3 linked regions of the Lepisosteus oculatus genome follow. The protein of the gene in region 1 interacts with the protein of each later gene in a pairwise test. Links are inferred from orthologs where the notes say so. Each region holds a gene or a part of one and is shown on either strand. Other genes may lie near its edges. The genes, in order: fhl3a, slc25a46 and znf512b.

Region 1 (3,754 bases):
CTGCCATCCAGTCATTGTACGATACTATTCTTCACCAAGCTACAGAGCATTCATATATGTGATTGTGGTCAGGACTTGATGGAATCATGCGAGCTATTGTAGTGGGCTGAAAAAAAAAACTAAAAATACTTCTATTTTGGGTTTCAAATGTATGCATTCCATTATCAAATAGGTACTCAAAAATTGCTTTCCTATAGTACAGCACAAGAAAATCTGACACACCACGATGAAATTCACATGAATGCAGAAACACAGAGTCACTTGCACCCATCTTAACAGAGAAGCATTTCATTAAGGGACTGTAGCCATAATTATTGAGAAGTGTACAATATAGCCACTGGACTTATGTTCTTCTAGCTTTGCGGACAAGTACAATGGATGAATCAGATCAACAACTGAAGGTTAATACATACTTTTACACATCTGGTGAAACTCAAATTGTTACGTGATCACCATCAGCATTAACTCTGTACCAAATGAGACTAAACTTCCAGTGCTTGCACATTAGACATCAGACTCAAACTTTCCATTTTCTGCAACAGAAATCAGCAGGCAGGCAATGCTACACCCTGAAGTCATTCTGAAATTGTCGTGCTCCATATGTACAGTTGGTGAGATCTAAATGGGTTTCATGTTCGTTACACTAAACGTTATCTGTATGTGACAGTCCTCTGCTCTTTACTTGGTCTAAGATGCACAATACCGTTTCTTTCTTTCTACCTGTTTCCTTGTTTAAAAAAGGAAGATGTTTGTGATTACTTAGGTCACAGAGGTTAAAGTGTAGCTGCTGTTATGCTGTGCAGGATGTACCACTTCCAAAGAAAAAAAGGCTATTCTTCAGGGTTTAAAAGAGGAAAGCGCAAATTCCATCCTCACCAGTTGGAGAATGGCTTAATCATGACAGATATAACCTCTTTTTCCTGCACTGGCCCCTCAGTCAGTTCAAACTCTGTCTGCTTTTCAGCCCTGGAGTCTAATTAGCATTAAAGGAAAAAATAAAACAAAATTCAGCCAAGAAAAAGCAATATTTCTTTCTACACATCACAGAAGACCAACAACATTCAGACACATTTTACGTTTGTAAGAAGTGCAATTGAAACTAAATTACTCTCCCTTTTGACATGCTTTAAAGTAAAATCTCTCGGTTTAATATAAACTGCAGGTATTGAGATTTTATTCACTGTTGGAGATTATTTTATAAAATAACATTTTTATGGACTTCTTAGTGCTATCAAATAATGTCTCTAAATTTTCATCCATTCTTAATCTCATCAAACATAAACTCGAAACACATCTTGCAATAAGGCTTTAATTAATAACTATTCTTTATTTCATCATTAGCTTTTACAAGAGATCAGTGAAGTTTAAAAAAACAAATAAATCAACGCACCAAGCTGTAGCAAAACTACAGTGTCCATCTCTAGGCTCTCAAATAATAGTACTTATTAATATTTAGCTATTTATATCCCAAAGGTGGGACTCAGTGCGCCCAGTACGGGTCGGTTGCGCCCTTACACAACAGATCAGGTAGCGGAGAGGAGAAAAAAAGTGCTTAACCCATTGAATTAATTAGGGATTTTATGCACAAATCCAGAGGGTATTTAGTCGGCATATCTGGGACAGTACACCTCCTATAATGAACAGCGCCTTCTCCGAATTTTTAATTCAAACTTATTACTAAAACAAAGCAATCCTTAGTAAACACTTCATTCGTGACAGTGTACAATAGCAAAAAGCATTTTACACGAAATGCGTCCACGAAGGTCCCGCTTGGCACGTAAAACAGAAGAGCAAAACCGTATCAGCGACTTTATCACCGTGACAGCGCAACAGCCGCACAGCGCCACCCTGCGGAACGCAGAAGCGAGTCAAGCAGACCTGCTGTGCGGAGCCTGGGTCTGTAGCTCTTGGGTCATTTCATTCCGTTGTCCACGCAAGGTCCCCTTGACGGAAGAGGCCCTGCCTGCCCTCCATCCACCTTTCATCGTTTTATATTGGAGTCTTAAACTATTGTTTTAAAAATAAATACAGGCCGTGCGAATAGATAGATGCTAACAGGACAAGAAGTGAAGTATTTTCTTTCCTGGCACAGAAAAACAATTATATACTATTATGTACTACTATATTAAACACTATTCTTCCACCACCGAGAGTTGTTAACTGCTAAAACCAGCTCACAGCGCCTAACACCTTTGTAATTATAATCATCATCATCATCCGTATGAAAATGAATGGTTTGATATGTGAGCCGATAGCGTTGCGCCCCAGTCTAATGAATGGACCATTAAATTGGTTTTCCTCCTCATTCAACAGCAAGTCGTGCTTCTACAAAAAGGAGCACTGCAGATGCTATGACATTTTTGTAATGATGTATTTTATGTCGGCAGTTCGACACAATCAAACAACTCCAAGATCAACACTCAGCCCGCAATGCTCATGCCAAAATGATTCGAGTCAAAAAACCGTTTCAAGTTTTTAGTGTTGTCGTTCTTCATAATTCTGGCGTTTGTCATCGACTGTTTTTCATTCTGTCTTTTCCAGTCGAAGTGTTCTAAAGGTACTAACATTTTTTCTTCCCGAAAAAAAGTTGACGTTTCTACCTCTGGCCAATGCGCAAAGAGCTCCGTTTCGGATTACGATTACTTGCAATCAGGAAAATGGTAACCCAGTAGCAGTAAAAGCGAACAAAAAAAAAACATGTATAGTTTTTAATTAAAAAATTCGTAGACAAATGACCTGTTAAACTGACTCGTTGACACTTACCCGGCACAACGTCAGAAGCCTCTGTCGTGCGCACTTGGTAGAGTGGAAAAGTTGCCTTCTTCCTTTCTATGGCTACTGCGTCTACAGACATGAAAACGGGAACTCGCAACTCCGTCCAGCTGCAAGCTCTGCTCGGTCTGCTCTTGCTGACGATCAGAGAGAATGTGGCTCGTACGCTCCAGAGGAAGTCTGACTCTTAAGAGCCCGCCCCTGTTCCCAAACCTTTGACATGCAGCCAACGTAACACGAGCGTTATACAGACGAGCTGCAATTGTACCCCGAGGCGAGAGACGTTAAAGGGGAAAACATCTTCGTAAGGCTTGAGGCAGGTATCTTGCCTGGGACAAGCGAACGACTCCTTCGGGATGGCATGGTCTTCATTGCTCACCGTCTGTTATCTCAAGTGATGTTGGTATAAAGACTCCAATGGTGAATTGTTATGTATTTATTCGGAGACACTGGGCAAACGACTTAACAAGCTTTATCTTAAAGCGTTCATCTTAAATTTAGCGCTGTGGCAAGTTATTCGTTTTCATTTCTGGCACTCTGGAAACACTAAGCTTGTTTTAAAACTTTCAACGTGTGTGTAGATTTTGAAACAGAAACGTTTTGAAAAGTATTGCAAGATCACCAAAATAATATTTGTCTATATTTACTTTTGAAGTATTTTAATCGCTTTATTATGGCAGTATAAATGTTATGAAAATAGGCATGCAATGCATTTCATACAAACTATTTGAAAGTGAATTTATACAGTGACCAAAATCAGATTAAAGACATCACTTTTAGATTTTATTTAGCCCCCTTTTAAAGTCAAGCTGTTTTTGTCTGCCTGGGGCAGAGTTAACGATTCTGGCATCCTTGTTATTTTCACTGTGTAACAATTATAGTAGCAGTGAATTAAATCAAACAATCGTAAACACCTTGACCTGAAGTATGTTGAAGGATCAGTCAACAGGATGAAAGTTGTTAGGGTAAGCTGAGGAAACTC
Region 2 (3,754 bases), on another chromosome or scaffold:
ACAATAAGAGCTCAAGAAGAGGAAGCAGGGAAGAAGAAGAGGAGAGACAGATTTCCGGAGGAGATGGGACTTGAAGCTTGCACCAGGCGAGAGCCCTACTTCATGTTCATCCAAATTAAACCTGACTGGAGGTAAATATGTGCACCTTGTTAGAGAGAGATCGCTGGTGTGTGTTTTTAGGGAACTTGTGTTTCCTGAGTGAAACATACCTCAGTTAGAAATGTCTTTTGTGCTTAGGGTTCATTTTAATGGATAGGGATATAGGCTCCCATTTATTTTGTGGCATCCGGGGTGCAGAGAGAGGTTTAACTGCAGGTTGCATTGTATTTCATTAGAAGGCAGCTAATCTCTTATGTGGCCTCTGTAGGCATTAAGAGTTTAATGCTTAGCAGCAGTCTAGGGTTTTCTAGGTGACCAGAATGTTAGGCCTCTGAAACACCTTGTTTGTAAATACTGTACATAGTAGTTCAGGTGGGTAGCTGCGTCAGCATGCATAGGCTGCAATGGAACAAGTTTATTCCATGCTGAAAAAAAAGAAACAAAACACGTTTCAGTCATGGAGCCTTCTTCAGGTGTGTGTATACTGTATATAGAGAATACTGTATAGTTTGTGTTTTGTCATTGTAATTCTTTTTTGTTTAATCATGTGTGCCTGGATTATTACTCCTCTCACCAAAGCTGTGCTTCTAATTATACCAGCCACTCGGGTATATTGCTAGAAATCACTTACAAGTTGGGGGTTATGACTAATTATTTCACTTATTGACGTAACTGCTCGGTCAAATCCTGATTTTCACCAGTTTTGTAACCTCTCATTTGTAACCATACTTAGAGGCATAAGTTATCACCTGTGCTTTCTAGGGCTGACTTGTGCTCCTAGTGACCTACACAAATGCCCAAAATACTGTTGGTGATGTATTAGGCATTGATATAGGAGTCCCCTTTTAATGTATCCATCTATTCATTCATTTTTAACCACTTCTTCCAACTCAGGGTCCTCAGAGAGCTGAAGCCTATCCTGCCAAACAACAGGTGCAAGGCAGGGTACACCCTTTACTGAACGCCAGTCCATCACTGGGCAGACAGACAAACATGTGAATTCAGGCCCAATGCCCTTGATATGCAAAGCTGCAGTGCTACACTTAGTATCAAAAACAGAAAAATAATCAGCCACACATAATTATATTGTATAACTAATGCAACTGATTTACTGTTTTTCATCACTGCAACATTATTTCAATGACAATTCATCATTCTTAAAAGCGGTTAAAATCGAGAATAAAAAGTGTAAAGATATGCACAAATGTGCATAAAGCGATGGGATAGGCTTTTCTGACTCAGCATCCTTAAAATGGATTTCTGAGATTTCTCAACAATATCGATTTTCTCACTCAGCATTTATTTTTAATTCACTTTTCTCCCTAAACAACTTTGGAGCCGAGTGACCCGGGCAGATCTAGGTACTGCTGGTCCTGGAAATCGCAGTGGATGGCAGTATCGGTGGATTTATTGAGAATTAATTTATTATTGTTGTTGTTTAAATTTGTTATACAGTATCAACTGCATACTGTCCTCCTTAGTTGTATTGTATGTGCAATTATCTTCTCATTTGGCACTTCTAGAACTCTTTGTTTAGTGATAAAACAGTTTTAATCCCGAAACGTACATTTAAAGACTTACTCAATCCATTCCAATGTGTTTGCATTTTCGGAACCATTAGTTGCGTGTCTTGATCAGCATTACTGTTCTACAGACAGACTGGGTCAATACCACGTTCGAAGACAGACCTACAGTGATCCGTACGAATACCTTTAAATTCCCAGCTCTTAACAAAATCAAATATATTGTTTAAACTGCGTTTCCGACCTGCTTCGATTTTTACCCCGTCCATAAAAGAAACGCCCCTTAATTATCCCTAAGGGTTCGCTAGTTTATTCCCGCTCCTATGCTACGACAAACCCCTGACGCTTTCGTTATTCACCAAATGCTGAAAACCTCCAATTACGTTAACTTGAACCATGCAGTGTCTTGCCTCTTATTTAAAATCTATTTATTCTTTAAGCCAATTAGTTCAACGTTGTCTTTTGCTCCCTTGGCAGAAATGGGCCTACCCAAAGCTGCCTTAATAAAGTCAGCAATTATACATTTTTCCTTAAATTATTCCTTTAAAGTATTTTGAAATCGTTGGTAAGGTTACGGAAAAAATGCATGTATTTAAAAGAACAGTTTTAAATGAAAGGATTAAATATTGCTGCGGACGTTAAACTGCTTCTAAACGGTCATAATGATCAGATGCACTTGACTGTTACACTGCACTGTTGTCTCCTTACCACCAGATGGTCCAGTAGAAATCTGCTGAGTCTCTTCGGAACCGGGGACTGTGGATGCAGCTGATTCATATTGTGGGGTTCGTTCTCCCCAGTGCAGGTTTCGGCTCCCAGGAATATCGGGTGGTGTCGTTACCCAGTGCTGCATATCTGCGCTAGATGAGTTATTAAATGACCTTCCCGTGTATCCCCCTCCATGAACAGGATCCTCCCTACCTCTATAACCTAAGCCATCAAAGCTCTCGGGCCGGCGTGAAGTCATGGAGTACACAAACGAAGATTGTCAGGGGTAAAGCAGAACAGTAGCTCTAGAGTGGAAGGATTTATTCACTAATCTCAAACTATTGTAAATGTGTTGACAAAATTACACATACAGCAAAAAGCGTGCAAGCTCTTCCAGCAAAACAAGAAACAAGGAAACAGCACTGTCGAACCTTCCCTAAAACCGGAAGTACTTCCTTCCCCCTCCCTCTAAAGCAAAGGGCTCTGGGAATCGTAGTACTAACATCATACCTGAAAATGATTTATTTTAATCGACAGCCTTTCGGGTAAGAAATAACTTCCACCACTATGTAAGTTGGAAACTATTTATATGAAATGTTCTGACGATTAAAGATAAAGAAACTACCGCGTTGTAATGACTTGTGTTTTGGATTGAATATTTTCTCTGCAGTCATGGCAACACCAAAACAAACGATTTCTGCTCGAAGTATCGGATCTTGTGAAACAAATTCTAAAGACGCTTCATTTTCACAATTAAAATGATTTTTTCCCCCTATAGCACTCAATGTTTTTTTATTAGAAAGCTTTGGTCAGAAATCAAAATAGGTAAGAGTGTAATTTCGGATGTATTTAAAAAATAAAAACGTTTTCCTTGAGAAGGCAAACCAAAAACTGAAATTCATTCAAAATAAGGTTTTTGGTTTATCTAAAAAGATGGGTAGGGTACGCAGCACATAGCTGTCTAGAAGAATATTATACAGAAACATTACCTCCTGAAAACTCAGATTAATTAGTACTTTAATGATTTGTGTAAACACAATGTTTCTTCTTTTAGAAATAAAACATCTAACCTACTAGCAAAAGAAGATGCCCATCATCAAAATTCCAGTAGTTCACAACTTTGGGATTATATCCCAAACCCATCAAGAAGATCTACAAAGAAGATTGCTTAAAAAGGCTCAAGAACTGGAAGCATCTCAAAATGCTAAGATTAGCCCTAGCAGGTAAGGAAGCATTTAGATTAAAAATGTTCTTATTATTCTGTTTTGTCTACAAAGTCACATCCTTCTTGTCCACAGTTCTTTTAACCACCAACAGTTACCATCCACACTAGGAACCTTTTCCTGTGACAGAGACTGCTTTAAAAATGTAACCTAAATTTTGTCATATAAAACTTGCAAATATGTAGATACTGTAGTATCACA
Region 3 (3,754 bases), on another chromosome or scaffold:
GGAATACCAATAGTGCAGCACAAAGCTTCCAGTAGCAACAAAAGAGAACAGGATCAATGACCACTCACCAAGTTTAGTGTCTTCTCTGCCCACCTTCTTTGCTGTCGCTGTCAGGCCTGCCGGTTTGCTGAGCCTTCTCTGGATTCCACCAGAGGGCACATGGCCTAGCCGTCCCCTGCTGGAGTCTGCCATGCCTCGAATACAGGCAGACTGCAGCTGGAACACCAAATCAAAGATTACCTGTCAATCACACGTCTACCCCAGTAACCCGTCCACAAAACACCTGTCAGGAAGCTGCCACCTTTAATACAGCTTCTACATGAAACCCAGTCAATTATTCATGTTGAAATAATTTTTTGCCTATGTTCAGCTGTCCAGAAACACTGTATTAATACGTAACAGAGGAACATTTCGATATAGGCAATAATCCTCAGACACCCCATGTCTATTTAAAAATAGCTGCTGGTTCTATGATGTGAAAAAAATGTATAATAAAGATAGCTAGTAGAGTATATTATTCAAATAAAAAGGTATGGTTGTCACTCAGAACATTGTTTTACCGGCTTTAACTATTAAAGAGATATGAATAATTAATCTCCAGAGACAAGTGATAGCTGCTGATGCAAACTTAAGTTTTATGGTCAAAAAGTACGAACTAGAGATTAAAGATACAACTACTGAGTCAGATTAGCATACAAAATGAACAAGCAACCCCCAGAATCTCTAACACACATAAAGGTCCAGCCTTTGACCTTTTAATACAGTAATGCATGAGGTCTCCCTGTCATAAGGACGGCAGCAGACAGAAGATACAGTGAAGTAGTGTCTTTGCGTTACACAAGGGACCTCTACATCAGTGAATCGGTGTGCAATTATCCCAGAGGCATTTGCAGTTACCATATCCTGTCTGTACTTCCTGATACTGAAGCAGCCCTGCCTTCAGTCCGACACTCTGGTCCAGACACTAGTGCCAAATGTTAACTGGGAAAAAATGTTTCTCTTTCTATGCAGACCGAGACAGAAGATAAGGGGAATCTTCTGAAACAATGAAAATGAAACTATACAACTATCTGTTTATATATTGATGACCTAAGAGCATAATAAATACAGGATTACAAGATCCCTGTAAAGGCCTACATGAGATTAAGATATTTGGGGGCTGTGAACCTCTTAGCACTCTCTGGGACTACTCATAAAATTTAGGAAGAAACATAATCTTTCCAGTGTTCAATACTCAAGTTTATGTAACAACAATCCTATATACTCTAAGAAAACAAAGACAACCACAAAAACAATTAAGTTGTGTGAAAACTAAGGGATCTGGGATTTTAATGAAAACTCCTATTCTATTTAAGAAATATAGATGTTAGAAATCAATGACAAAAACGTAAACTTTCCACCTCTTGAGGAATACAGTTTCAGTTCCCCCACCTCTCTTTAGCACCGAACCTGCTGTGGTTGAACTACTGTACGTTCATTCTTGTTCTTAGCACGACTGAAACCGGACTGTGGGGATTCATATTTAAAGCAACCACCCCCCCCAAAAAAAACCACAACAGCACACTCACTTCGCATCAGGTAGGCCACACCTACCTGGTGTGTTGGGAGTCACCCGACACCAACACTAGTGGCCGGGTGGACCGGGTCACCCACGTGGGGTCAGGCGGTGCACTTTGCTGTCGCCCCGGTTGTTACATGGCAATCACACCTGCTGTCCCGGGAGGTGATCCCAGCAGACTGCCGTCACGGCCAGTAGCCACTCTCGCAACACCCGCTGTGGTTCCCAGGGAGGAAAGAAAAATGCAAATTAAAACACAACCTGAACGTTTTTTTTCCCCCCTCAATCCAGCCACTTTCCGCTTTGGTTCATTAATATGCAAAACACGGGGTACTTCGTTTACCTCAGGCGTCTGTGGAAAAAGAACGGTACGGAAAATTCTGGCGAAATGGCTCAGTCCCATAAAGGAAATAAAAAATACAAGAAGCTTTTATAGGCACTGAAGCAAAATGGCGACTTTATAATACGAAGGAGGAGTAAAAAAAAATCCTTGCGCTGCAAAGAGAGAGAAAAATATGTTTAGTGCAGTAATTTTCGGCAGCTACATGGCAGTTCGCTAGAGTAAAAGAAAATAAAACGAAGGAAAATATAAAAAAAGGTGCAAACGCGCTAGTTTTAGCTGCGGTCTGCTGCTCCTTACCTCTGATTATTTTATTTTTGTAATACAGATATAATCTCCGGGGCCGTGTACAGTATTACAGTAATGTGTTGGGTCATGCGCGTATCCACTCTACCTTTGACAGTTGTAACTACAGTCGAGAAGGCAACTTGCAAACTCTCGCGTTATTATTTTTTATCATGCAAATTAAATTCAGTTTTCAGTAAAATAAAATCAATGCAAAACTGACCGGCTGGTGCGTTTCCACCGACGTGCTGCAGTTCAGTCTTCAGCAGAGAAGGGTTAGGCAGTCTGTATGTATGCAGCCTGGTTGTCTGTCGCCGAATATCGTTAATAAACGTTTTGATTTTGAGTTTTTTTTCTCTCTCTCTCCAATCTAATGCTTATTTTTGAACGCATTACACATAGTATTGTATTGAGCCGCCACACCCTCTTACGTCTACTTTTGTTCTAATCTAACTTTAAATACGGGAACTGGATCTTTTATAAAATAGACAACCATTTTAATTCGACTTTATCTAATGATCCTGCGCTCCGAGTCAAAGTAGTGGCACACAGATTATATGCGAGACAAACCCTTTTTAATTTCCTTAAAATGATCATTTTAAAGGGTGTTAAGTGGATTTTTTTTCTCTCTCCAGGCCAAATTTAGCACAGGGGGGGGCAAATTGTTTCCTAAAACGGAACGACACAGCCCCACCCAAAAAAAGGGAAAAAGATGATCCTTCAGATCTGAACACCTGCGTTTATGTCAGGACTTTCAGTAGATGCAGGAAAAGACTACAGTTCTAGCTGCAGTAGGAATACATGTTTAACAGAAGTCAAACAAAATTCTGTTTTAAAAATAGTTTTTGAGCAGGGTACAACATGTTAATCAGCAGGAAAAATCCATCTATCTTTTAACACATGAGAGAAACTGAACGTAACTTAACTTCCAAACATATATTTACAGCAATGGGAGTATTTTCAGGAAAATGTACTGTTCCGCCATACAGAGGTATACCTTAATTAATTAAACCTTTTATACATTCAAAAAGAAACATAAGCAACATGTCTGAAATCTTTTGTCATTATTAAATGTTTTATCTAGTCTTTTCCCAAGTAATATACTTCAGTTTGAAAATACTAAAATATCAAAGTCCAGTAATATAACCGGATAACCCCTCTCTCCGACTGCATAACGAATTTCGGGAACATCAGAAAGCTATTAATAGATGCAAAACATTCCTAATTTTAGGCTTCTATTGTATGATAGATATGAATTAGTTATTAGCTTTGGGCATTCTTATTTCTGTATCTTATTTCGAGGTTTTCTTTCCCCAGAGATTTGTTCCCCAGTGAGTTTTGTTTAAGTTTTCATAAGCTTTGCTGTATAATTAATTCTATTGCTTAAAGTGTACGATTTGTATAAAATCTTAAGTATGGAAAAATGCAGAAGTCAGTGTAGGCCTCCTTATTAAATCTTTACACTTCACAGTTGCATGCACTTCTTTAAATCTTATTAAATAAACAGTACGAGACGCCACCAGAGGGTAGCAGACACCTATTAGACAACCGGAGCGGAGTATCTACGGTAC

The links.
Region 2: the proteins of fhl3a (region 1) and slc25a46 interact in binary tests that used the Homo sapiens proteins (3 or more experiments, as listed by UniProt). The two-hybrid records come from large-scale screens. The link is inferred for Lepisosteus oculatus from reciprocal best matches to the Homo sapiens genes FHL3 and SLC25A46.
Region 3: the proteins of fhl3a (region 1) and znf512b interact in binary tests that used the Homo sapiens proteins (3 or more experiments, as listed by UniProt). The two-hybrid records come from large-scale screens. The link is inferred for Lepisosteus oculatus from reciprocal best matches to the Homo sapiens genes FHL3 and ZNF512B.

What each region holds. Positions count from the first base shown.
Region 1 is NC_090706.1:12,362,288-12,366,041, reverse strand, and holds the start of fhl3a (four and a half LIM domains protein 3), read right to left. Parts: upstream 2,943-3,754; 5' UTR 2,855-2,942; coding exon 2,764-2,854; intron 1-2,763. UniProt on the Homo sapiens protein: Recruited by SOX15 to FOXK1 promoters where it acts as a transcriptional coactivator of FOXK1.
Region 2 is NC_090698.1:29,843,371-29,847,124, reverse strand, and holds the start of slc25a46 (mitochondrial outer membrane protein SLC25A46), read right to left. Parts: upstream 2,756-3,754; 5' UTR 2,590-2,755; coding exon 2,331-2,589; intron 1-2,330. Other genes in the region: tmem232 (transmembrane protein 232), read left to right, coding at 3,417-3,553. UniProt on the Homo sapiens protein: Transmembrane protein of the mitochondrial outer membrane that controls mitochondrial organization.
Region 3 is NC_090711.1:6,043,418-6,047,171, forward strand, and holds the start of znf512b (zinc finger protein 512B), read right to left. Parts: upstream 2,718-3,754; 5' UTR 2,407-2,717; intron 2,360-2,406; exon of another isoform or gene 2,199-2,359; intron 2,054-2,198; exon of another isoform or gene 1,902-2,053; intron 1,775-1,901; 5' UTR 1,594-1,774; exon of another isoform or gene 1,569-1,593; intron 217-1,568; 5' UTR 193-216; coding exon 69-192; intron 1-68. UniProt on the Homo sapiens protein: Involved in transcriptional regulation by repressing gene expression. Associates with the nucleosome remodeling and histone deacetylase (NuRD) complex, which promotes transcriptional repression by histone deacetylation and nucleosome remodeling.